Stegostoma tigrinum: one gene and its partners. The protein of the gene in region 1 binds, or shares a complex with, the protein of each later gene. Links are inferred from orthologs where the notes say so. Each region holds a gene or a part of one and is shown in the gene's direction. Other genes may lie near its edges.

What was found. Proteins that work in one complex are often made in the same cells at the same time.
Region 2: the proteins of med7 (region 1) and med21 are in contact, whole or in part, in a cryo-EM structure (PDB 7EMF), measured with the Homo sapiens proteins. The link is inferred for Stegostoma tigrinum from reciprocal best matches to the Homo sapiens genes MED7 and MED21. Residues at the interface, in NP_001094286.1 of Homo sapiens: Phe72, Asp73, His74, Lys75, Leu78, Arg79, Asn82, Ile85, Leu86, Phe89, Leu92, Leu93, Leu96, Phe116, Val119, His120, Ile123, Asn124, Tyr126, Arg127, His129, Gln130, Arg132, Glu133, Leu135, Arg136, Met139, Glu140, Gln142, Lys143; in NP_004255.2 of Homo sapiens: Asp3, Leu5, Thr6, Leu8, Gln9, Val12, Asn13, Leu15, Ala16, Phe19, Ile23, Ile62, Ala66, Ile69, Asp70, Ile73, Asp74, Leu76, Pro77, Ser78, Glu79, Ser81, Ala83, Gln86, Ser89, Leu90, Leu93, Glu96, Asn97, His98.
Region 3: med7 (region 1) and med8 share a complex: the UniProt entries of both Homo sapiens proteins name them as parts of the mediator complex. The link is inferred for Stegostoma tigrinum from reciprocal best matches to the Homo sapiens genes MED7 and MED8.

The regions. Positions count from the first base shown.
Region 1 is NC_081366.1:12,400,309-12,408,584, forward strand, and holds the start of med7 (mediator of RNA polymerase II transcription subunit 7), read left to right. Parts: upstream 1-5,148; 5' UTR 5,149-5,279; coding exon 5,280-5,481; intron 5,482-7,789; coding exon 7,790-8,276. UniProt on the Homo sapiens protein: Component of the Mediator complex, a coactivator involved in the regulated transcription of nearly all RNA polymerase II-dependent genes.
Region 2 is NC_081371.1:59,249,137-59,256,509, forward strand, and holds the start of med21 (mediator of RNA polymerase II transcription subunit 21), read left to right. Parts: upstream 1-4,100; 5' UTR 4,101-4,160; coding exon 4,161-4,202; intron 4,203-7,294; coding exon 7,295-7,373. UniProt on the Homo sapiens protein: Component of the Mediator complex, a coactivator involved in the regulated transcription of nearly all RNA polymerase II-dependent genes.
Region 3 is NC_081361.1:79,769,879-79,777,193, forward strand, and holds the start of med8 (mediator of RNA polymerase II transcription subunit 8), read left to right. Parts: upstream 1-4,042; 5' UTR 4,043-4,075; coding exon 4,076-4,081; intron 4,082-4,090; exon of another isoform or gene 4,091-4,495; intron 4,496-7,315. Other genes in the region: KICSTOR complex protein SZT2, read right to left, coding at 1,136-1,309, 2,189-2,314, 3,848-3,874. UniProt on the Homo sapiens protein: Component of the Mediator complex, a coactivator involved in the regulated transcription of nearly all RNA polymerase II-dependent genes.

The DNA.
Region 1 (8,276 bases):
TTTACAAGATGCAGCGCCTCACATTTACCTAAATTAAACTCCATCTGCCACTCCTCAGCCCATTGGCCCATCTGATCAAGATCCTGGTGTACTCTGAGGTAACCTTCTTCACTGTCCACTGCACGTCCAACTTTGGTGTCATCTGCAAACTTACAAATCATATCTTTTATGTTCACATCCAAATCATTTATATAAATGATAAAAAGCAGCTGACACAGCACTGAGCCATGTGGCACACCACTGGTCACAGGCCTCCAGTCTGAAAAGCAACCCTCCACCACCACCCTCTGACTTCTACTATGGAGTTAGTTCTATATCCAAATAGCTAGTTCTCCCTCTATTCTGTGTCATCTAGCCATGCTAACCAGTCTACCATGAGGAACTTTGTCAAATGCTTTATTTAAATCAATACAGATCATGTCTACTGCTCTGCCCTCATCAATCCTCTTCGTTACTTGTTCAAAAAACTCAATTAAGTTAGTGAGACACAATTTCCCACACACAAAGCCATGTTGACTATCCCTAATCAATCTTCACCTTTCCAAACACATGTAAATCCTGTCCCTCAGGATTCCCCTAAATTTATTCAGACTCCCAGTGTCCACCAGGCTCTAGGGTACTAAATTCCATAGACTCACAATCCTTTCAGAGAAGCAGGAGACAGAGGGTGGTGGGACAGGGCTGTTGTTCAGACAACAGGCCTGTGATCTGCAGTGTGCCTCAAGGTTTGGTGCTGGGTCCTGAGGATAGCTAGACAGAATTTTAATTATTAAAGGAATCAGAGGTTGTGGGGAAATGGCAGGGAAGTGGAGTTGAGGGTTATCAGATTTGACATGATGTCATTGAATGACAGAGCAGACTCATTGGGCTGTGTAGCCTACATCTGCTCCTTTTTCTCATTCATTCATGGAATATGGCCACCACTGACTATAGCCAGCATTTATTGGCCATCCCTAATTGCCAGAGGGCAGTTAAGAGTCATCCACATTGCTGTGAAATGCTGCTTCACCTAGAAAGACTGCTTAGGCCTTTGGATGGTGAGCAGGGAGGAAGTGAAGGGTGAGGTGTTGCACCTTCTGCAGTTACAAGGAAGGCGCTGTGAGAACATTGGAGGCACTAGGGGGGAGATCTCCTGAGGTAATGAGATCAGTGACAGTCCTAGCAATGATGGGTTGATGTTCGTATGTGGGGTCATGGTCCAGGGGCAGGTGGGAGGAAGTGTCAGAGAGATGGCATTGAGCCTCTGCAAGATAAAGGTCAGCGCTCCAGACGACAATAGCAACACCTTTGTCAACTGGTTTGGAAACAAAGTTAGGGTTGGACCCTGAGAGAGCAAAGTGCAGCATTTTCAGAAGGGGGCAGGACATTGATGGGGATCTGGAGTCATATGTAGGCCAGACCATTTAAGGATGGCAGATTTCCTTCCATAAAGGACGTTAGTGAGCTAGATAGGGTTTTCCCTGACAATGGTTTCATGGTCATTAGAATCTTAATACAGATTTTTTAAAATACTGAAATCGAATTCCACCATCTGCCATTGTGATGTCCTTTCCCCCACGACATTTCCTGGGTATCCAGATTAATAGTCTAGTGATAATACCAATAGGCTATCATCTCCCAGTCATGTGGTCTTACGGTTTTGACCCTTCTGCCAATAGAAATAGTTTCATGCTATCTGGGATAACAAGATGTAGAGCTGGATGAACACAGCAGGCCAAGCAGCATCTTAGGAGCAGGAAAGCTGACATTTCAGTCTGACATTTTGTGATTTTTAACACCTCATTCAAATTTCATTTAACATTCTCTGTACTGAGAAGAACTGCTCCAATCTCCACACTTCACCAATGTATCAATGTAACTGATAAATGTCCCTTGTATTCAAGCTTGAGATTCACAGCCTCAGCTTCCTAATGTCGATGTTTGGTCTTCTCAGGAAGAGGGAGACATGGGTCTACCAGGCTTGTAATTCTCTGACAGGGTGGCGAAAAGCTAAAGGCTTCAGATCTTTGGTGCTGAAGCACAAACACACACATTACAACACTGGCTCTATTCTTCAGACCTACTTCAATGTCCACCAAGAAGTTTGAAATAGACTGAGGACATAACTGAGGGGAAGAGCACTGACACATGGCCCAACACTGCCACCCAGCACAGCCAAGGGATTGCATAGTGACATCGCCCTCCACTGGGACCAACGGCATTAACTTTTAACATTATTTCGTAATCACTGATTTATACTGACCTGAGCTGTAATGTTGAACTTTTAACTTATTTCTTCATTCTTTTCCTCTTTATCTAAGATTTCGTACTTAGGTTCCTTGTGTCTTAGATGGCGCCATTGAAAACTTTTCACTGTACTTCTACATCCCTGTACATGTGACAATAAAAATCTAATTCTAATTCTAATTCTAAAATGCTGGCTGTTTCCAAATAGCAGACAGTGAATATTATTCAAACTTATGATTTTTGTATTTGATATAGAACAACAAAAGATGGATGTAAAAGATGTGGACATACATAATCATAAATAATATCTAGTGTCTAACTACTATATATTTAAAATGTGCTTTCCACATGCATCTTCTGTCTTATAAATTCTAACTTAACACACGTATTGTTATCAAATTGTAATTCGCCCATTGCCAGTGAAGGCACTGCTGTGCTAAGTTTTCACATCAAGAAAGATCTGCGTTTATATAATAAGGCGTGGAGCTGGAGGGATACAGCAGGCCAGGCAGCATCAGAGGAGTAGGAAAGCTGACGTTTCAGGGTTGGGACCCCCTTCAGAATTTTTTTTTCCGAAGAAGCATCCTGATCCAAAAAAAAAATCAGCTTCCCTGCTCCTCTGATGCTGCCTGGCCCACTGTGTCCCTCCAGCTCTACACCTTGTTATCTCAGACTCCAGCATCGGCAGTTCTTACAATCGCTGCATTTATATAATGCTTCTTTACAGAATATCTCAAAGCTTTGACAACCAACGAAGTGTAGTCTAGGGAGCATGTCAATATTTAGAGAAAGCACAAGTGAAGTGTGTCAGAGTTTACAAGGGTTCCCTGGGGTGGGACAGTGTATTTGTACTTGGGGGAGGCGATCGCCTCGTGGTATTATAGCTGGACTGTTAATCCAGAGACTCAGATAATAATCTGGAGACCCAGGTTCAAGTCCTGCCACAGCAGATGGTGGAAATTGAATAAATATTTGGAATTAAGAGTCTAATGATGACCACAAATCTATTGTCAAAGGTTGGAGGAAAAACCCATCTGGTTCACTAATGTTAATAAAAATTCCAAAGAGTTGCAGATGTTATAAATCAGGAACAAAAATAAAGTTGCTGGAAAAACTCAGCAGGTCTGGCAGCATCTGTGGAGGAGAAAACAGAGTCAACATTTCAGGTCTGGTGACCCTTCCTCAGAACTAGGCACGAATAGAGATTGGAACTGAAATCCCATCGGAGAAAGTAGAGCCTCTTCAAGGTGGGCATGCCTGGAAGAGATGTGGCAGTGAGTTAAACACTAAATAAAAACCAAAAGAACTGCAAATGCTGTAAATCAGGAGCTAAAGCAAAGTTACTTCCTCAGTTCTGAGGGAGGCTCACCTCCCTGAGGTTAACTCTGTTTTCTCCTCCACAGATGCTGCCAGACCTGCTGAGCTTTTCCAGCAACTTTGTTTTTGGTTCACTAATGTTCTTCAGGGAAGAAAGCTGATCTGGCCTACATGTGACTCCAGTCCGACAGAAATGTGGCTGACCCTGGGTAATAAATGCTGCCCAGTCACTGGTGGGAACAGTCAGCTAATTACCAATGTGTGCATGAGGGAGTGTTAATTCCCCCCAGTCTCATTTCCTGTTAATGAAACAAGGATTGAGACATGCGCATGCGCGATTCTGCAACAGTTCCCCGAGTAAGGGCTAATGGGAACTGCAGATGCTGGAGAATTCCAAGATAATAAAATGTGAGGCTGGATGAACACAGCAGGCCAAGCAGCATCTCACGAGCACAAAAGCTAACGTTTCAGGCCTGGACCCTTCATCAGAGAGGGGGATGGGGAGAGGGAACTGGAATAAATAGGGAGAGAGAGGGAGGCGGGCCGAAGACGGAGAGTAAAGAAGATAGGTGGAGAGGAGAGTATAGGTGGGGAGGTAGGGAGGGGATTGGTCAGTCCAGGGAAGACGGACAGGTCAAGGAGGTGGGATGAGGTTAGTAGGTAGATGGGGGTGCGGCTTGGGGTGGGAGGAAGAACCGGTTAGGGAGGCAGAGACAGGTTGGACTGGTATTGGGATGCAGTGGGTGGTGGGGGAAGAGCTGGGCTGGTTGTGTGGTGCAGTGGGGGGTGGGGACGAACTGGGCTGGTTTAGGGATGCAGTGGGGGAAGGGGAGATTTTGAAACTGGTGAAGTCCACATTGATACCATATGGCTGCAGGGTTCCCAGGCGGAATATGAGTTGCTGTTCCTGCAACCTTCGAGTGGCATCATTGTGGCAGTGCAGGAGGCCCATGATGGACATGTCATCTAGAGAATGGGAGGGGGAGTGGAAATGGTTTGCGACTGGGAGGTGCAGTAGTTGGTTGCGAACTGAGCGGAGGTGTTCTGCAAAGCGGTCTCCAAGCCTCCGCTTGGTTTCCCCAATGTAGAGGAAGCCACACCGGGTACAATGGATACAGTATACCACATTGGCAGATGTGCAGGTGAACCTCTGCTTAATGTGGAATCATATTCCGCCTGGGAACCCTGCAGCCTAATGGTATCAATGTGGACTTCACCAGTTTCAAAATCTCCCCTTCCCCTACTGCATCCCTAAACCAGCCCAGTTCGTCCCCTCCCCCCACTGCACCACACAACCAGCCCAGCTCTTCCCCTCCCCCCACTGCATCCCTAAACCAGTCCAACCTGTCTCTGCCTCCCTAACCGGTTCTTCCTCTCACCCATCCCTTCCTCCCACCCCAAGCCGCACCCCCATCTACCTACTAACCTCATCCCACCTCCTTGACCTGTCCGTCTTCCCTGGACTGACCTATCCCCTCCCTACCTCCCCACCTATATTCTCCTCTCCACCTATCTTCTTTACTCTCCATCTTCGGTCCGCCTCCCCCTCTCTCCCTATTTATTCCAGTTCCCTCACCCCATCCCTCTCTCTGATGAAGGGTCAAGGCCCGAAACATCAGCTTTTGTGCTCCTGAGATGCTGCTTGTCCTGCTGTGTTCATCCAGCCTCACATTTCATTATCCCCGAGTAAGGGCGCTGACTCGCTACGTCACTGTGAGTGGCAGCCTATCTACCCAATGGGACGCTGTACCGTGCCGCGATTTGCGGCTGCTTTAACCAATGGGAGCTGGCCTAGCCTGGCCTGGCCACGGCGTTCGGCGGTGGCGGTGAGTACGCGAGGTCGGGGATGTGGCCTGTGCCTCTCCGAGCCCGGCTCTGCGCCGGCGGCTGAGATCTTCCCCACGGTTTTGTACCGCAACATTGGGAACTCCGCAGGCGGTTAGTCCTAGATCATTGGAGAGAGATTCGGCCTCCGCACCTCCCTTTCTAGTTATCCCTGTACCCCCCCGTTGTGTGGGGGTGGGGAGAGAATGTTTCCCGTTCCCCCCTTCCCCCGGTCAGGTGGGGAGTGGGTTACCTAATCACCATGTCTGTGGAGGGTAGGGGCGTGTTATTCCCTCCACTGTATGAATGGGAATGGGGTGGGGTTTAATCCCCCCCCCGCGTCTGTGTGGGGTTTAATTCTCTCCCCCCCCCCCCGTCTGTGTGGGGTTTAATTCTCTCTTCCCCCCCCCCCCCCCGTCTGTGTGGGGTTTAATTCTCTCTCTCCCCCCCCCCCCCCCCGTCTGTGTGGGGTTTAATTCTCTCCCCCCCCCCCCCGTCTGTGTGGGGTTTAATTCTCTCCCCCCCCCCCCCCCCCCCCGTCTGTGTGGGGTTTAATTCTCTCCCCCCCCCCCCCCCCCGTCTGTGTGGGGTTTAATTCTCTCCCCCCCCCCCCCCGTCTGTGTGGGGTTTAATTCTCTCTTCCCCCCCCCGTCTGTGTGGGTTTTAATCCCCCCCCCCCGTCTGTAGTTTAATTCCCCCCCCCCTTGGTCTAGGAGGGGGTTAACCCCCGCTGTCTGGGGGAAAAGTGTTAATACCTCCTGTCTGTGAAAAGGGGTTAATATCTGCTGTCTGTCTGGGGGTTAATCCCCTCCCATCTGGGATGTGGAGGTTAATCCACGCCCCCTTCCCCGGTCTGGGAAGCGGAGTGTACTAGCTATAAGGAGAGGTTGGACAAACTTTGATTGATTTCGTTGGAGCATCAAAAGCTGCAGGCTGACCTGAAATAAAATTATTACAGACACAGATGGGGGTAGTCAGTCTTTTCCCCAGGGTGGAAATGTCAAATACGAGGGGGCATAGGATTAAAATGAGATGGGGAAAGTTAAGGAGATGTGAGAACAGTTTTTACACGTAGGGTGGTAGGTGTCTGGAACACATTGCCAGGGGCGGTGGTAGAAGCAAATATACTAGAAACATTAAAGAGGCAGTTAGACAGACACATGAACAGGCAGGGATTAGAGAGATATGGACCATGTGTGGGCAGATGAGATTAGTTTAGAATTAGAATCCTTACGGTGTAGAAACAGGCCCTTTGGCCCAACAAGTCTACACCACTTCTTGGTGCATCCCAACCAGACCCATGCCCCTTTTACCCACCTAATCTACAGAGCCTTGAATTTTACATGCAATTTAGCTTAGCCAATCCACCTAACCTGCACATCTTTGGACTGTGGGAGGAAACCAGATTACCCGGAGGAGAGTGTGCAGACTCCACACAGACAGTTGTCCAAGGGTGGAATTGAACCTGGGTCCCTGGCACGGTGAGGTAGCAGTGCTAACCATGGAGCCACCATGTAGCCCTAGAATGCTGGTCAGCACAGACATGGTGGGCCAAAGGGACTGTTCTCGTGCTGCTCTATATGTTTTATATAAAGGCTTGGATCACAGAATGGATTTTTATGACAATCTGACAGCTTCATGGTCATATACTGACAGCTGTAATTTATTGCCAATTCATTTTAAATAATTCTTGAGCTGCTTGGTGAGACTTAAACTTTGTATTGTATGCATTATTCTGAGGCTGCTGTGATTTCTACACAGACTCGATGTGATTAAGTTCTGAGGTGGCCTAGTCAGTATCTGCTTGAAACCAATACACAGAATAATAAGCCATTCAGGCGTGCAAGAGGGAAGCAAAACACAAGGGAATTAGTTTATGATCTGGAAATGACGAATGCAGGGTTATGTGGAGAAGGCACAAGATGAATTGCTTATTTGGAGAGCCAGCCAAACAGTGGACTGAAAGACCTCCTCTGCATTGTATTATATCTCTGAACACAAACTGTTCACAGTGCCTGAACTAACCCAGGTGCTTCATAGGAACGTCTGTCAGACAGATTTTGACATTGAGCCAGATGAGGACATAACAGTAAATGAATTTTAATGAATATCTTAAAGGAGGTAACAGAGCTTTTGAGATTTAGGAGAGGGATATTGGTGATCAGGGCCTTGTCAGCCAGAGGCCCAGTTGCCAGTGACAGTTGGAGATAAACAAGAGGCTGAGATTGAAGGGGTTCAGTGGTCTTTTAGGGCTGGTGAAGCTATGTAAATAGGCAGGGCTGATGCCTTGGAGTTTAAAAACAAGGATGAGAATTTTAAAATTAACACAAAACCAGAGGATAGGCTTTGAGTGGCAACTTTGCTGGATTGAAGACTAAAACCAAGGTTTTGAGGTTGTTCCTTTTTTTTTCCCCTTTTGCAGATCCAGTTACATTGAGTGCAATGGGTGAGCCACAGCAGGTGAGTGCGTTGCCTCTGCCTCCAGCACAGTACTATAAGGAGTACACAGACGACAATGTCCGCAAAGGCTTTGCTCCTAAGCCACCACCTCCCATCAGGGACAGCTACACTATGTTTGGCAACCAGTTCCAGTGCGACGACTTGATCATCCGTCCATTGGAGGGCCAGGGCATCGAGAGGCTCCACCCTTCACAGTTCGACCACAAGAAAGAGCTCAAGAAACTCAACATGTCAATCCTGGTGAACTTCTTGGACTTACTGGACATCCTGATCAAAAGCCCCGGGAGCATAAAACGAGAGGAGAAACTGGAGGACCTCAAACTCCTGTTTGTTCACATGCATCATCTGATCAACGAGTACCGCCCCCACCAGGCCCGGGAGACGTTGCGTGTAATGATGGAGGTGCAGAAGCGGCAGCGGCTAGAGACGGCTGAACGCTTTCAAAAGCA
Region 2 (7,373 bases), on another chromosome or scaffold:
AAATTCCTCATGTTTCCCCGTGGTCATTTTGAATCTATAAATAACATATAATCCCAAGCAATCCATAGCCTTCAGTTACTTTATCTTCGCAGCTTAGCATGTACAATGTAACCTTGCGATCACAGGAAATTACTGCACAGAAAGAGGCCATTTAGCCTCTTATGATGATGTGAGTTTCAGCACCCTAACTGCAGCTGGTTATTCTGAACCTATTTGCCTGTCGATTGTGACTCAGCGTGCAGTGGCCTGGCTTCAGATGTTCAGCTCAAGTCTGTCTCTAGAGGCTTGAGTTTGTAAGTCAGGCCAACAATCCCAGAGTGGGGCAGTAGAACGTCAAGAGGTTCTTTATCCTCAACGGTGTTCATGAGGTGTGTGTAAGGGGGAGGGAAAGAGAGAGCGAGAGACAAACAGGTAAGCTTGACAAACTCCAGAAACGCAAGCAGAACCCAGTCCTGGTGCAGGTGATAGGGATCAGTGTCACAGAGGATCTCTAAGAGTCTTGCTGCTTTCCTCAGAGGCCTGCAAGGTAATCTTCCAGTCCAGGGTCTGCACATGGAGCAGGATGAACGTTTGATTTGATTTATTGTTGTCACACACACCGAAGTACACTAAAATGTTTTGTTTTGCATAGAGTGCAGGCAGATCATACATGGACATACAGATTGTAGGGCGTTTAGACAGAGTGAGGCATACAAGGTCAGGTTGCACAGGAGGTGCGCAAAGCAAGATCAACATTAGATTCGAAATTAGAGAGGTCCATTTAGCAATCTAATAACATCAGGGGAAGAAGCTGTTCTTAGAGTGATAAGGGTCATAGAGATGTCCAGCATAGAAGCAGACCCTTCCATTCAACTTGTCCATTCTGACCGCATATTGAAAATAAATCTAGTCCCATTTGCCAGCATTTGGCTCATATCCCTCTAAACTCTTCCTATTCATGTACTCATCCAGGTGCCTTTTTAAGTGTAAATGTACCGGCCTCGATCACTTCCTCTGGCAGCTCATTCCATATACACATCATCCTCTGCATGAAAATGTTGTTCCTTAGGTCCCTTTTAAATCTTTCCCCTCTCACCTTAAACCAATGCCCCTCTAGTTTTACACTCCCCAACCCTAGGGAAAAGCCTTGTCTATTCACTCTATCCATGCCCCCATGATTTTATAAACGTCGAAAAGGTCACTCCTCAGCCTCCAACACTCCAGGGAAAATAGCCCCAGTCTATTCAGTCTCTCCCTGAAGCTCAAACTCTCCAACCCTGGCAACATCTTTGTAAATCTTTTCTGAACCCTTTTAAGGTTCGCAACATTCTTCCTATTGCAGGGAGTTCTTGTATGTTTCTTTAGGCCTCTGTATTTTCTGCCTGACGGGGGTTTGGAAGAGATTGTTATTGGGGTGCGAGGGGTCTTTGATGATGTTGGTTTGCTTTCGACGACATTGAGAAGTGTAGATGGAGTCCATGAATGGGAGGTTAGCCTGTATGATAGTCTGGGCTGTGTTCACAACTTTCTGTAGTTTCTTACAGTCCTGGGAACAACAATTGCCGTACCAGGCCGTTAAGCACCCACACAGAATGATTTCTGTGGTCGATCGGTAAAAGTTGGCGAGGGTCCTTATGGGCATGCCGAACCTCCTCAGCTGCCTGAGGAAAAACAGGCATTGTTGTGCCTTCTTGATGGTCTTACCTATGTAGGATGATCAGGACGGATTGTTGGTTATCGTCACTCCTAGGAACTTAATACTCTCGACCCTCCCCACCTCAGCTCCATTGAAGTGCACGTGGCTTTTCTTCCAGTAGGTGCAGAGGGAGATCTCTGTGCCCAGCGGCCTGAAGAAAGAAGATGGCTCAGTAACGGCATCTCAGTCCGACATCCTGAGGATCAGCAAATCCTGTTGTGCCAGACTGTATGGAACTGTTTTACCATCTTTTGCACGTACACAATTCTTATGAATAAAGTATATTTTCTCCAGTACGGAAAAAGCCAAGTATCCCATATGTCTTCTGAACTACCCTATTGACCTGTCTTGCTACATTTAGGGATCTATGGGTAAGCACCCCAAGATCCTTCTTTTGTGTGTGGCTTCCTGGTGTCTGGGGAAACGCCTGTGGTCTTAAGGTCAGTCTGGATGGGCTGAATAACCTACTTTGGCACCTATGCCTTATGTAAGGCACAACAATAACACTTGGAAAGATTTACTGCCAGCTTTTTTCACAATTTCTAGTTTGTCTGCTCACGGCCCACATCGACTCTAGTCTCCTAGCCCATCTCAATCCCCTACAATTTGCTTAGCGACGTAACAGGTCCACAGCGTATGCTGTATCCCCAGCCCTGCACTCATCCCTGGAACATCTGGACAACAAGGGTACCAACATCAGACTCCAGCTCATTGACTACAGCTCCTCCTCCAACACCATTATCCCCGGCAGACTGATCTCGAAACTGCATAACCTTGGTCTCAGCTCCGCCCTCTGCAACTGGATCCTCAGCTTTCTGACCCACAGACCGCAATCAGTGAGGATAGGTAACTGTACCCCCTTCATAATAACATTCAGCACTGGAGCCTTCCAGGGATCTGTTCTCAGCCCCCTGCTGTACTCCATGCACACCTACGACTGTGTTGCCAAATTCTGAACAAACACCATCTACAAGTTTGCTGACAACACCACTGTAGTGGAACAGATATCTAACAGCGATGAGTCAGAATACAGAAAGGAGATGGAGGGCTTGGTGATGTGGTGCAATGAGAACAAACTCTCTCTCAATGCTGGCAAAACTGATGATTTATTTCAGAAAGGAGAAGACACACCCCCATCTACATCAACAGACCTGATGTTGACATGGTGACGATAACTGATAACATGTCCTGGCCTTCCCACGTAGAGACGATGATCAAGGCGGCACAACAGTGCTCTTCCTCCTCAGGCAGATCAGGAAATTTGGCATGTCCATAAGGTCCCTCACCACCTTCTACAGATGCACCCCATTGAAAGCACACTATCCGGATGCATAATGGCCTGGTACTGTAACTGCTCTGCCCAGGACTGTAAGAAACTACAGAAGGTGGTGTGTACAGCCCAGACCATCACAGAAGCCAACCTTCCATCCATGGACACCATTAATACATGGTTTGCTGCCACGAAAAGGGAGCCAACATCATCAAAGAGCCATCCCACCCTGGTAATGTTCTCTTACAGCCTCCACCATCAGGCAGCAGATATTACTTTCTGAAGAAGGGTCTAGGCCCAAAACGTCAGCCTCTCTGCTCCTCTGATGCTGCTTGGTCTACGGTGTTCATCCAGATCCACACCTTGTTATTCGCAGATTCTCCGGCATCAGCAGTTCCCACTATCTCAGGCAGAAGGTACAGAAGCCTTGAACACACCAATGGGCAGGTTCAGGAACAGCTCCTTCCCTGCCATTATCAGCCTGATGAGCGGACTCTCTAACCCGAAGTAACGCTGATCTCGCTCAGCGCACATTCCTGTGCAATGTAACAAAGTGTGAAGCTGGATGAACACAGCAGGTCAAGCAGCTTTTGTGCTCCTGAGACGCTGCTGGGCCTGCTGTGTTCATCCAGCATCTGCAGTTCCCATTATCTCTGCGCAATGTACCCTGTAGACCCCTATCTGAGCCTTTAGGATATGTACATCCCTTGCTTGCTATGATCGGCATGTACTCATAAACAAAGCTTTTCACTGTATCTCGGTGCATGTGACAATCGATCAATCAACAACTCAATCATCAATCATTCAATCTTCAGGGATAGTCTCTCAATCCTTTCAGTGATTCATTTGTGGCTAATAAGACCTGACCAAGCTGATTGCTGATTGGGGGAATGCGAACACCATCCTGTGGCTGCCCGTGGTTCTGATTGGGTAGACTGTGAATATAGCCCTTGTGATTGGTTTAATGTCCCCGTCTCTTATTGGAGAATCGAAGTCTAGCTACTGATTGGTCGTCTTACCCGCAATGTTCCCCAGATGATTGGCTACGTTATCCGGTCGCCCGCTCTGACTGGGTAGCTCCGCGCCGCTCGTCGTGGTGGCCTGACACTTGATTGGTCAGTTCTACCACCTAGCAGTAAAGCGGAGAACGATTGGTTGGGAGTAGACCCGAGCTTCCTCCAATGCCAGGGCGGTTTGTTGGCTTTTTGCTGGACGATGGCGGACCGCCTCACGCAGTTGCAGGACGCCGTGAACTCGGTGAGGGCGAGCGGCCAGAGTCCCGACTTGAGGCCGGGGTTAGCAGTGGGCCCGATGTGATAGCGCCGCTCCCGCCCAGCGGGTTATGGGGACGGGGGAGCGCCCTTCTGCGGGGCGGTCAGTCTTCGTGCCCACCAAGATGCCGACCAGGGCCAAAACACCCGCAACGGCTGAAGGCCGCTCCCCTCCTGTAGCCTGGGGTTCGTTTAATACAGCATCAAATACGCAGAAATTGCTGGAAAAAGCTGAGTAGGTCTGTGCAGGGTAACGTTTCGGGTCCAGTTCTGAGGAAGGGCCCCCTGCCCCTAAGCGTTAACTCTTGCCTTTTCCTTCACAGAGCTGCTGAGCTTTTCCAGCAATTTCTGTCTTTGTTCCTGATTCGCAGCGTCTGCGTTTAGAATCATAGATTCCCTCCAGTGTGGGAGCCGGCTCTTCGGCCCAACAAGTCCACACTGACCCTCAGACCGTCTTCGCACCCCCACGACAACCCATCTATTCCACCCTTCCCTGGACACTACGTGCAATTTCCCATGGCCAGTCCAGCTAACCTGCACATCTTTGGACTGCTGGAGGACGACCCCACTCTCACTCTCACTGTCTGTCTCTCTCGACACTCACACAATGTGCAAGCACTGAGCCACTGTGCCGCCCTGATCAGTCTTTATAAAATACACAGCAGCGGTCCCTTGACGGTGTGGTGCTCCCCTTCCTTCAATTGGACAGGCTATTTGAGGCACGCTGTCAAGCTATTTTCAACGCAGCGAGATATTGTGTGTTTGAGATCTTGCTGAATGTGATGGGTTCTAATCAGATTCTGAAATATGGTGAGAATTTTCAGATGTGAGTATCAAGGTAAAGACCTTGGAATGAAAATTGTCCCTTTTAAGGAATATTTAGAAATAGATGTATCTCAGTGGCATGAGGTTGCAGAAGACTTAAGTGTCCTTGTGTATGCATCACAAAAGGCTGTAATGTCAATTACTGAAGCATGCTTCAGCATTTAACGATGGCTAATTTAGTAATTAAATCTAATAGAATTTTCTTTTTGTTGCAAGGGATACTGAACATAACAAATGTAGAGCGATTATGCTTATTATTCAGGGCACTAGCTAGACTGCATCTGAAGTACTGTGCTCATCACTAGCCACCTTACTTCTGGTAGGGTGCAAATGCATTGGAAGCATTTTATAGATGGTTCACAAGACCGATACCTGGGATGGCAGGTTGTTTTGCAGAATGGTTGGAAACAGTAGGCTCGTACCAGCTGGAGGTTTGAAGAATATGTGACTTGATCAAATATTTAATCTTAATAGGGTAGATGTGAAGATGATGTTTTTTCTTGTGGGAGTATCTAGACTAGGGGTTACGGTTTAAAAATAAGGGGTGTCCCATTCAACAAAAGATGAGAATTATTTTTCCCTGAGGTGGAGTGTCTCTGAGCATCGCTTCCTGAAAAAGAAGTGGAAGCAGAGTCTTTGAATAGTTTATAAGGCAGAAGACATTAAATTCTTCATAAGCAAGGGGGTGAAAGGTTGGTGGCTTGAGGTAGGAGTTGGGTTTGAGGTTGCAATCACATTAGCCATCATGTTAAATGGTGGAGCGTGTTTGAGGGGCTGAATGGTCTGCTCCTTGTCTGTAAGTAAGTGTAATTTAGTCTGTTTCCACTCAGCTCTGATGTGTTTTCAGGTGAGCTACAAAACTGAATCAGAGTAAACACTGTTTACTGAACAGTTTGCTGTTTAGAATCTTTGCACGCCCACATGTTCTGTTTCATTTTTAAATTTGTCTTCCATCTTTCACACATCAGTGTGCTGTCAACAAATAACCTATGTAATTTGTATGAAGGGTAGGAGCCAACCTTGTGATTAGACTGTCAAACTTGTTCATAATTTGCACTGCTTGCCTTGATCTATGCTTTATAATTTGCTAGGGATAGAAAAATCCATTTGAGAATATTCCACCATTGAATTAGGTCATCACTGTACATAAACAAAACCCTCTCTTATACTGGAGATTGTCAATGCCCAGCATCATTACTAAAAAGAAAAACTAAGTCAGTGTTTCAGGTTGATGACATTTCACCAGAGCTGTCAAAAGTTGAGAGATGTAAACGATTTCAGGCAACTTCAGAGGCATGGTAAAAGAGAAGGGAACAAAGGAAGAAATGCTTGTGATAGTCTGAAAGGCAGGTCTAATTAAATGATAGAAGAGATGCTTATGCATGAGTTTCAATGAAATAACCAAAGAGGATGATTGGTTGAGTGGATGTCGTGCCAATCAGGCCGGCTGTTTTGTACTGATGGTGTCCAGCATCTTGAATGTTGTTAGGGCTGCACTCATTCTGGCAAGTGGGGAATATTCCATCACACTCCTGACTTGTGCCTTGTAGATGGTTGACAGCCTTTTCGGAGTCGGGAGTGAGTTACTCTTTGCAGTATTCCTAGCCTCCGACCTGCAAGTGTGTTATGTGACCAGTCCAGTTCAGTTTCTGATCAATGATAATGTCGAGGATGTTGATGGTGGGATATTCAGTGACTACAGCACTATTGAATGTCAAAGGGTGGTGGTTATTGCATGGCATTTCGATGACACTAATGTTATTTGCCACTTGTCAGACCAAGCTGGATATTGTCTAGATCTTGATGTATTTGGATATGGACTGCTTTGCAGTATATACTGTCTACAAGATACATTACAGAAATTCACCAAAGATCCTTAACATCATCCAAACCCACAACCACTTCCACCTAGAAGGACAAGGACAATAAATGCACGGGAGCACCAGCACCTGTAAGTTCCCCTCAATGCTGCGCACCTACTGATTTGGAAATACCTTGTCGTTTGTTTGAAATTGGAGAACTCCCTCCTGAACAGCATTGTGGGTCTACCTCCAGCACGTGCCGTTCAAGAAGACAGCTCACCACCACCTTCTCAAGGAGCAGGCAATAAATGTGACTAGCCAGCGATGTCCAAATCCCATGAGTGAATTAAAGAAAAGCCCCATTCTTGCATCTTTTTCCTTGACGAGAAATACCGTTGCCCAACAAAAATAGTTGTGTTGTTTTAAATCAGCCTTCTTTTCTTCTCTCTAGTTAGCAGACCAGTTCTGTAATGCCATCGGTGTCTTACAGCAGTGTGCTCCTCCTGCTTCATTCACAAATATTCAGACTG
Region 3 (7,315 bases), on another chromosome or scaffold:
CCTTGACATTAAATGGCATTACCATCGCTGTATCCCCCGCTGTCAACATTCAAGGGAGTCATAACTGATCAAAAACTGAACAGTAATAGTTACATAAATAACATGGCTATAACAGCAGGTCAGAGGCTGCAACTTCTGAGAGAAGTAACTCACCCTGTCTCCCCAATATCTGTCCATCATCTACACACACACGTCAGGAATATGACAGAACACTCCCTACTTGTCTGCACAGGTGCAGTTCCAACTATACTCAAGAAGCATGACACCATCCAGGACTAAACAGCCCAAGTGATTGGCAATTTAACCAACACCATGAAACACTGTGGCTGCACTGTTCACTGTTTACAACTCACACAGGGTCCTTAGAAAATACCTTCCAAACTCTTGATCTCCACTTCCTAGAAGAGCAAGGGTAACAGATACATGGAAATTCAAACGCCTGCAAGTTCCTCTTTAAGCCATTAACATCCTGACAACAAACCATGTCGCCATTCCGACAAGATCACTCAATTAAAATCCACTGACGTCACATGGGCTGCAGTGGTTCAAGAAGGCGGCATACCACCACCTTCTCAAGGGCAATTAGAGATGGGAAATAAACGCTGTTCATCCTGTACACCAGCATCTCTTCAAATAAAATATTTTAAAATATGCATACATGTAATTAAAGAAAACTTTTTGTCAAAGCTGATGAAATTCAAAATATTTATTGAGATGTTCACTTTCGATAGCTTCAAATTTAATCACAGTATCCCCACTGTGCGGACAGAGTCCATTCAACCCATCGAATCTGCACTGACCCTTGGTACTGCATCTTTTCAAGACCCAGCCATCCACCTGATCCCCATAACCCTGCTTTTACCATGGCTAGTCCACCTAGCCTGCACATCTGTAGACACTATGGAACACTTGAACATAGCCAATCCACCTAAACTGCACATCTTTGGACTGTGGGAGGAAACCAAATCAACCAGCAGAAACCCAAGCAGACACAGGGTGAACATGCAAGCCCCATGCAGACAGGCACTTAAGGCTGGAATCAAACCCTGGTCCCTGGTGTTGTGAGACAGTAGGGGTAACCACTGAGCCACCGTGCCACCTCTCTCTCTTCCCACCAAATGCAACAATTACTCACCACAATCCCTGTAGATGGACTGAGATCCAGCTCAATAACAAAGCGGTATCGCTGAGCAAGGAAGGTAATAGTGGTTGAGGGTACCAGTTGGTACGTTTGATCAGCAACTGGTTCATCTGGTTGCCAGCCTTTTGGTAGGACACTGAGAACATCCAATTCATTGTTGGAGTTGCTCTGTAAGAGAGAAAGGATAATTGTGAGATGCATCACAATGGCATATGTTACAACTATTATAAAGCAAAAAGGAATAAAAGGACTTCAATTACTGAATAAATGAAAGATGCTGAGATTGTTCCCCTTAGAGATTAATAAGAAATTTGATAGAAATGTCTGAAAAAGCTTACAGATAGGTTCACTCCAACACTGCCAGGATCTATGTCCACTGGCAGAAGGACAAAAATAAAACACCACCAATTTGGGTTGATTAGCAAAATCAATGTGAGGAAAAAACTTCTACGCAGGGAGTGGTTACAATTTCAAATGCACTTCCTCAGAATATGGAGGAGGCAGGTTCAAAAGGGAACTGGATCAACAGCTGAAGGGGGAAAAAAATTACAGATTTTCTCAGAATCACTAGGGCTTCCCATCATTGCATGATCAATCCACAATCTTGGGTAATATCAGGAGATTTTGCATGTTGGCTCAGTGGCTACCAGCACTCTATTATGTCAAACTGAGCCATGCAGACCAAGAAGGTCCCAATTTCAATTCACAAATATTATATTTTTTTCACTTCAGTTGGACGCTGTGTCCTTTGTTTGAGTCGGTGGTGGGGGAGGGCGGAAAAAATTAATGAGTTCACATTCTCAGTCATTTCAGAAAACAACAGGGCAATTACATTAGTGTAATTATCTATTCTAACATGTCCTGAAAATACTTGTGTTACAAATAGATATTTTAAACTAAGAACATGACCATCTAATTTTCTCCCAATGTACTGAGATTGCAATTTACTTTTCATGCAAAGATTAATACACCATATTAGGTTCCCACTACTTCATCCATGTTCTCACAAAGAGGTCACAGAACAATTCAAGGCACCGTTTCACTCACAAGCTCTGACGTGGACATCGGTCGAATGCTTTGATTCAGTCTGTTGAGAAACCAAGCTAATCTTACATTGCGGGAAATCCGATATTCCTTCTTCATAAGCAAGAAAACCTGTCCTGCTTCTTCCACCTGTCAAAACAAAAGTATGTGACTTGGAACTAGAACTTTAGGTCACCAGAAGCTCTACTAGTATACAAGATCACACATTAATAAGACTATAAATACTTGGATGATTTTGCATCAATGAGATTTGAGTGATTTTCTTTCTGCTCCTTAGTTTGCTTTCTTTCTTTGGTCCTTCGATTAACTTCTCATAAAATTAAGCAACTAAGGCACTCAATGGAAGTCCATTTTACACTTCATCAGCAAGAAAAAGGTTATTAAATCAAATATAGCATTTCTAATTGGAAGTAGATACCTTCCTATGTCTCTCTTTACTTCTTGCAAACATAGAAAATAGGTGGAGTAAGCATTCTTTCCTTCAAGCTTGCACCACCATTCAATATGATCATAGATGATCATGAAAAGTTCATGTTAAACCCAAAAGAGAATTTACTACTTCTATTTTTTTTCCCCTGATATTCAGAACCAGACATTTTTCAGTAGCCAAACACAACCATTTTGTGAAACATCACAATCTCCCAGCAGGCAAAGAAATATTTAAAAGCATCAGAGTTGTTATCCTGCAAGTCTGATGTGACATAAAGCCAACTATATTAGTTACAGGAAACATCTTGTCACAGGACATGATCTGATCGTTGCACTGGAGCTCCAACTAAACACACCCTTTGATATCACCAAAAGAAATTTCCAAACATACAACGCATACTCACCAGGTATATTTCCTCAAAATTCCACAGGTTCCAATGGCTATATTTTTGTCAGTCATTTTTTTATACTATTGCTCCAAAAATTAGCTCCTACATTTGCTGTGGTTTGATATTGCTTTTTTATCATCTACATACCAGCTTTAGTTAATTTTATCCAAATATACTAGTTTTCTGATATGATATGAGTGCTTATCTGCACAATTAGCAAAATTTGAGGACCTTATAAACAAGACTTAAAGCGCATAGACCCAGACAACATGTGTCAAGATTCCATGGTGTGAGGCAAGCAGATGTCTTCTGCTTGCCCAGGAAGCATTTCATATTTTGACTGTTAACAACAAGTAGCACAGGCAGCGTATAAAAGCCCCTACAAGACACTGTGGTTTGTTGATTCACAGGATGTCGGCATCACTGGCCACCCCAGCATGTGTCTGTCGTCCATCACTGAGGATGCAAATTCTAGCCACGCTGGAGACAGTGGGAAATAATTTATCTCAGGAGTCCTCTCCAAAGTTGGGTCAGCTGATGAAACTCGGAGTTCACTGATGACACAGCAACCTCCTCCAGAACAAACACGGGAGCTGTCATTGCTGTTCTGACAGTCCCAAACGCGTATTTATTCATGTGCAGCTCACTGGGTTTTTAACTCTCCGACACGAGAAGAAAAAAAACAATCAGACGGAGAGCCGTAAATCCTATGCTAGCAAAGTTTAAGGAGCTGCGTGCAGAAGGCAGGGTCGCACGGACCTTACTGTACATGTCCCGTGCCCTCCACGGGGCCGCCCCTCACTGTTTGCTGACACCGCACCCCAACCTGGGCCCTTCCCTTTACCTCGGAGTCTCTCTCTCCCCCAGACATGCTCGATGGCCGCTCTCATGCCCACCGGCCGGCCGGCCTTCCGCCCCGCCGCCTATCGATTAGAATCGCAGCACTCTGCCGCTCCCGGTTCATCTCCCGGCACACCGCCCCCCTCCCCCAATCAACCTACATACACGTCACCTCTGACCCCTGGCCCCGTCGCCCGGAACCGGAAACCGGGAGGTAGCGGCTGGGGTTGCCATGCAGGTAAGGGGTCGTCAGCGGGACTGGATCGTCCCCTTGAGCTCGACCCTCACAGTAACTCATTTGTCGGAGGAAATCACTTCCACTCGTGTTCCCCCCCCGCCCGAATCCATCCCGTTTTCCCCTCGCAGTGTAGAGACTTTCAGTCCTCAGCTCGTCATGGCATTTGTGGGCTGGAGACTCGAAGAGAGCAGGACAGGCTAAGCAGGCACATCAGCTCTGGACTTGATCAGTGTGTGTGTTAACTACGAGAACATCGAGATTTACGATGAGGCTGTGCGTCACGTTAGTTAGGCCGCAGCTGAACTGTGCGCATTTTTGGTCGCTGTGCGGTAGGAAAGATGTGATTGTGCTGCAGAGCGCGTAGAGGAAGTTTCACCAGGATCAAAAACGGCTGTTGCTGGGAAAACTCAGCAGGTATGGCAGCATCTGTGGCGAGGAAGCGGAGTTAAAGTTCGAGTCCAGTGACCCTTCTTCAGAACTGATTCACCGGGACGTTGCCTCGGCTGGAGTGATTTAGCTCTGAAGAGAGGAAAGACAGGCTGGGGTTGTTTCAGAGCAGAGAACAGTGATCCACCTTATTCAGGTGTATAAATGTTTGAAGGGTAGATAGAGAGGAACTTTTCCCCTTAGCAGAGGAGTCAATAACCAGGGGTGCAGTTCTACAGAAAGCAGCAGGAAATTTATAGACTAATTGAGGAATTTTTTTTCACTGAGGGTGGTTGGTATCTGAAGCTCTCTGCCCTGAAGGGTGGTAGAAGTGGAAAACCTCAATTAATTTAAGAAGTATTTAGATGAGTACTTGAAATGTCGTAGCATACAAGGCTTCATGCCACATGTTGAAAACTGGGATTACAGTAGATAGATGCTTTGTGACCAGCATTAGCATGACGAGTTGTAGTGCCTCTTTCCATCATAGAATCCTACAGTGTGGAAGCGGTCCATTGTGTTATCCCAACCAAACTGCTGTCCCATAACCCTGCATTTCCCGTGGCTAACCCATCTATAGCCTCCATATCCCTGGACACTATGGGCAATTTAACATTGCCAGTCTACCTAACATGCACATCTTTAGACAGTGGGAGGAAACCAAAACACCCAGAGGAAACCCATGCAGACTCAACACTGACAGCTGCCAGAAGGTGGAATTGAGCCCAAGTCCCTGGCAGTAGGAGACAACATTGCTAACCGCAGCCGTTGTGCCACTGCATGTAGTAAAAATGCCAAGACTTTGTGGGATTTTGCTGTGTGCAAATTTCGCTGCTGCATTTCTGACATTAAGTGACTGCACATCATTTCCAGCATCTGCAATGTCTTTTGATTTCAATATAAAATATCATAAAGGCACTTTAGGAGATGTGGTGTGCATAGAAAGGGCTTTATGATAGAGATCAATTGGAAATGTGGGTGGAGAAATGGTGTTTAATCCAGACAAATGTGGGGTAATGCATTTTGGGAAATCAAATACAAGAAAAAGCATACAATTAATGGTAACACCCTGAGGAGCATGGATACACAGAGGGATCTTGGAGTCCAAGTCCATGGCTCCCTGAAAGTAGCAACACAAGTGAATAAGATGGTAAAGAAGGCATACAGAATGCCTCCCTTCATTGGTTGGGACATTAAGTATAAAATATGGCAAGTCACGTTGCAGCTGTATAAGACTTAAGACTTTCTTTAGGCCACATTTAAACTATTATGTGCAGTTCTGGTCTCGACACTGTGAGAAGGATGTGGAAACTTTGGTGAGGTTGTAAAAGAGGCTTACCATAAAGAAGGGAACAGACCCAAAACGTCACCTTTCCTGCTCCTCTGATGCTGCCTGCCCTGCTGTGTTCATCCAGCTCTACACCTTGTTACCTTTACCATGATATCATCTGGATTGGAGAGTATTAGCTATGAGGAGAGATTGGACAAACTTGGATGGTTTTCACTTGAGCTTTGGAGGCTGAGGTGCAACCTAATAAAAGTATATAAAAATAGGAGAAGCATGGATAGGGTGGATAGTCAGGGTCTTTTGCATGCATGGAAATGTCAAATACTACGGGGAGCAAATGTTTAAGTTGAGAGGGGGAAAGATTTGTACAGGGTGGTAGGTGCTTGGAACATGCTGCCGAGGAGGTGGTAGTAGCAGATATGTTTACAAACTTTAAGAAGTGTTTAAGCAGATACGTGAACAGGCAGGATGTAGAGGGTTACAGATGATGTGGCAGCATCAAAGCTGGTAAAGACATTTTGCTCCAAAGGGCCTTGTTTCTATGCTGTACTGTACTATGAATGCAAGTCTAGTTCTTCAAAGGAAGAAGTACTTGCATCTATGCTGCACTTTTCACTATCTCAGTCTTAATGCAGCTCTGCAGGATGTTACAGTGGAAGCAAAATATTACAGATGCAAAAAATCAGATCCTAGAGAAATGAAGTGTAGGCCCTATTGTTCTGTAGGAAATGCAGCAACCAATTAGTGCAGAGTCAAAAATAGAAATTGCTGGAAAAGCTCAGCAGGACTGGCAGCATCTGTGGAGAGTAAGCAGTTAACTTTTTGGGCTAAGTGACCCTTTCTCAGTTCTCAGGGTCACTCCAAAAGTTAACTCTGATTTCCCTCCACAGATGCTGCCAGACCTGCTGAGCTTTTCCGGCAATTTCAATTTTGTCTCTGACTTACAGCATCCATAGTTCTTTTGGTTTTTAATTAGTGCAGATTGCTTGACAATGTGATAGTGACCGGATAGTGTTTGCTGAGATTAGTTGGAGGATAATTGTTGGCCAAGACACTGGGGATGGTGCTTGTTTTTCTCATGGTGTCATTTTTATTTGTGTTCATCCAGTAGCTCCGAACTTTAACATATTATCTGAAAGACCTCATCTCTGATAGTACTGTGCTGGGTGTTATCCTAGATTTGTGTTTTAACATCTGGAGTGGGACCAAGTGAAACACCTTTTGACTCACTCAAGAGTACTACAAACTGCTGCAATTGATACATACTTTTATATAAATTCTGTAAATGGTGCAAGATGTCATTAAACACCACGCAGTGGTCAGGCGTGCAATTTTTTGTCAGAAACTGAAATTGATTCAGTTAGATTCACCAACTTTAGGTACATTTAAGTCATCATTGGACAAGCATATGGACATACGTGGAATAGTGCAGGTTAGATGGGCTTGAGATCGGTATGACAGGTCAGCACAACATTGAGGGCCGAAGGGCCTGTACTGTGCTGTAATGTTCTATGTTCTAA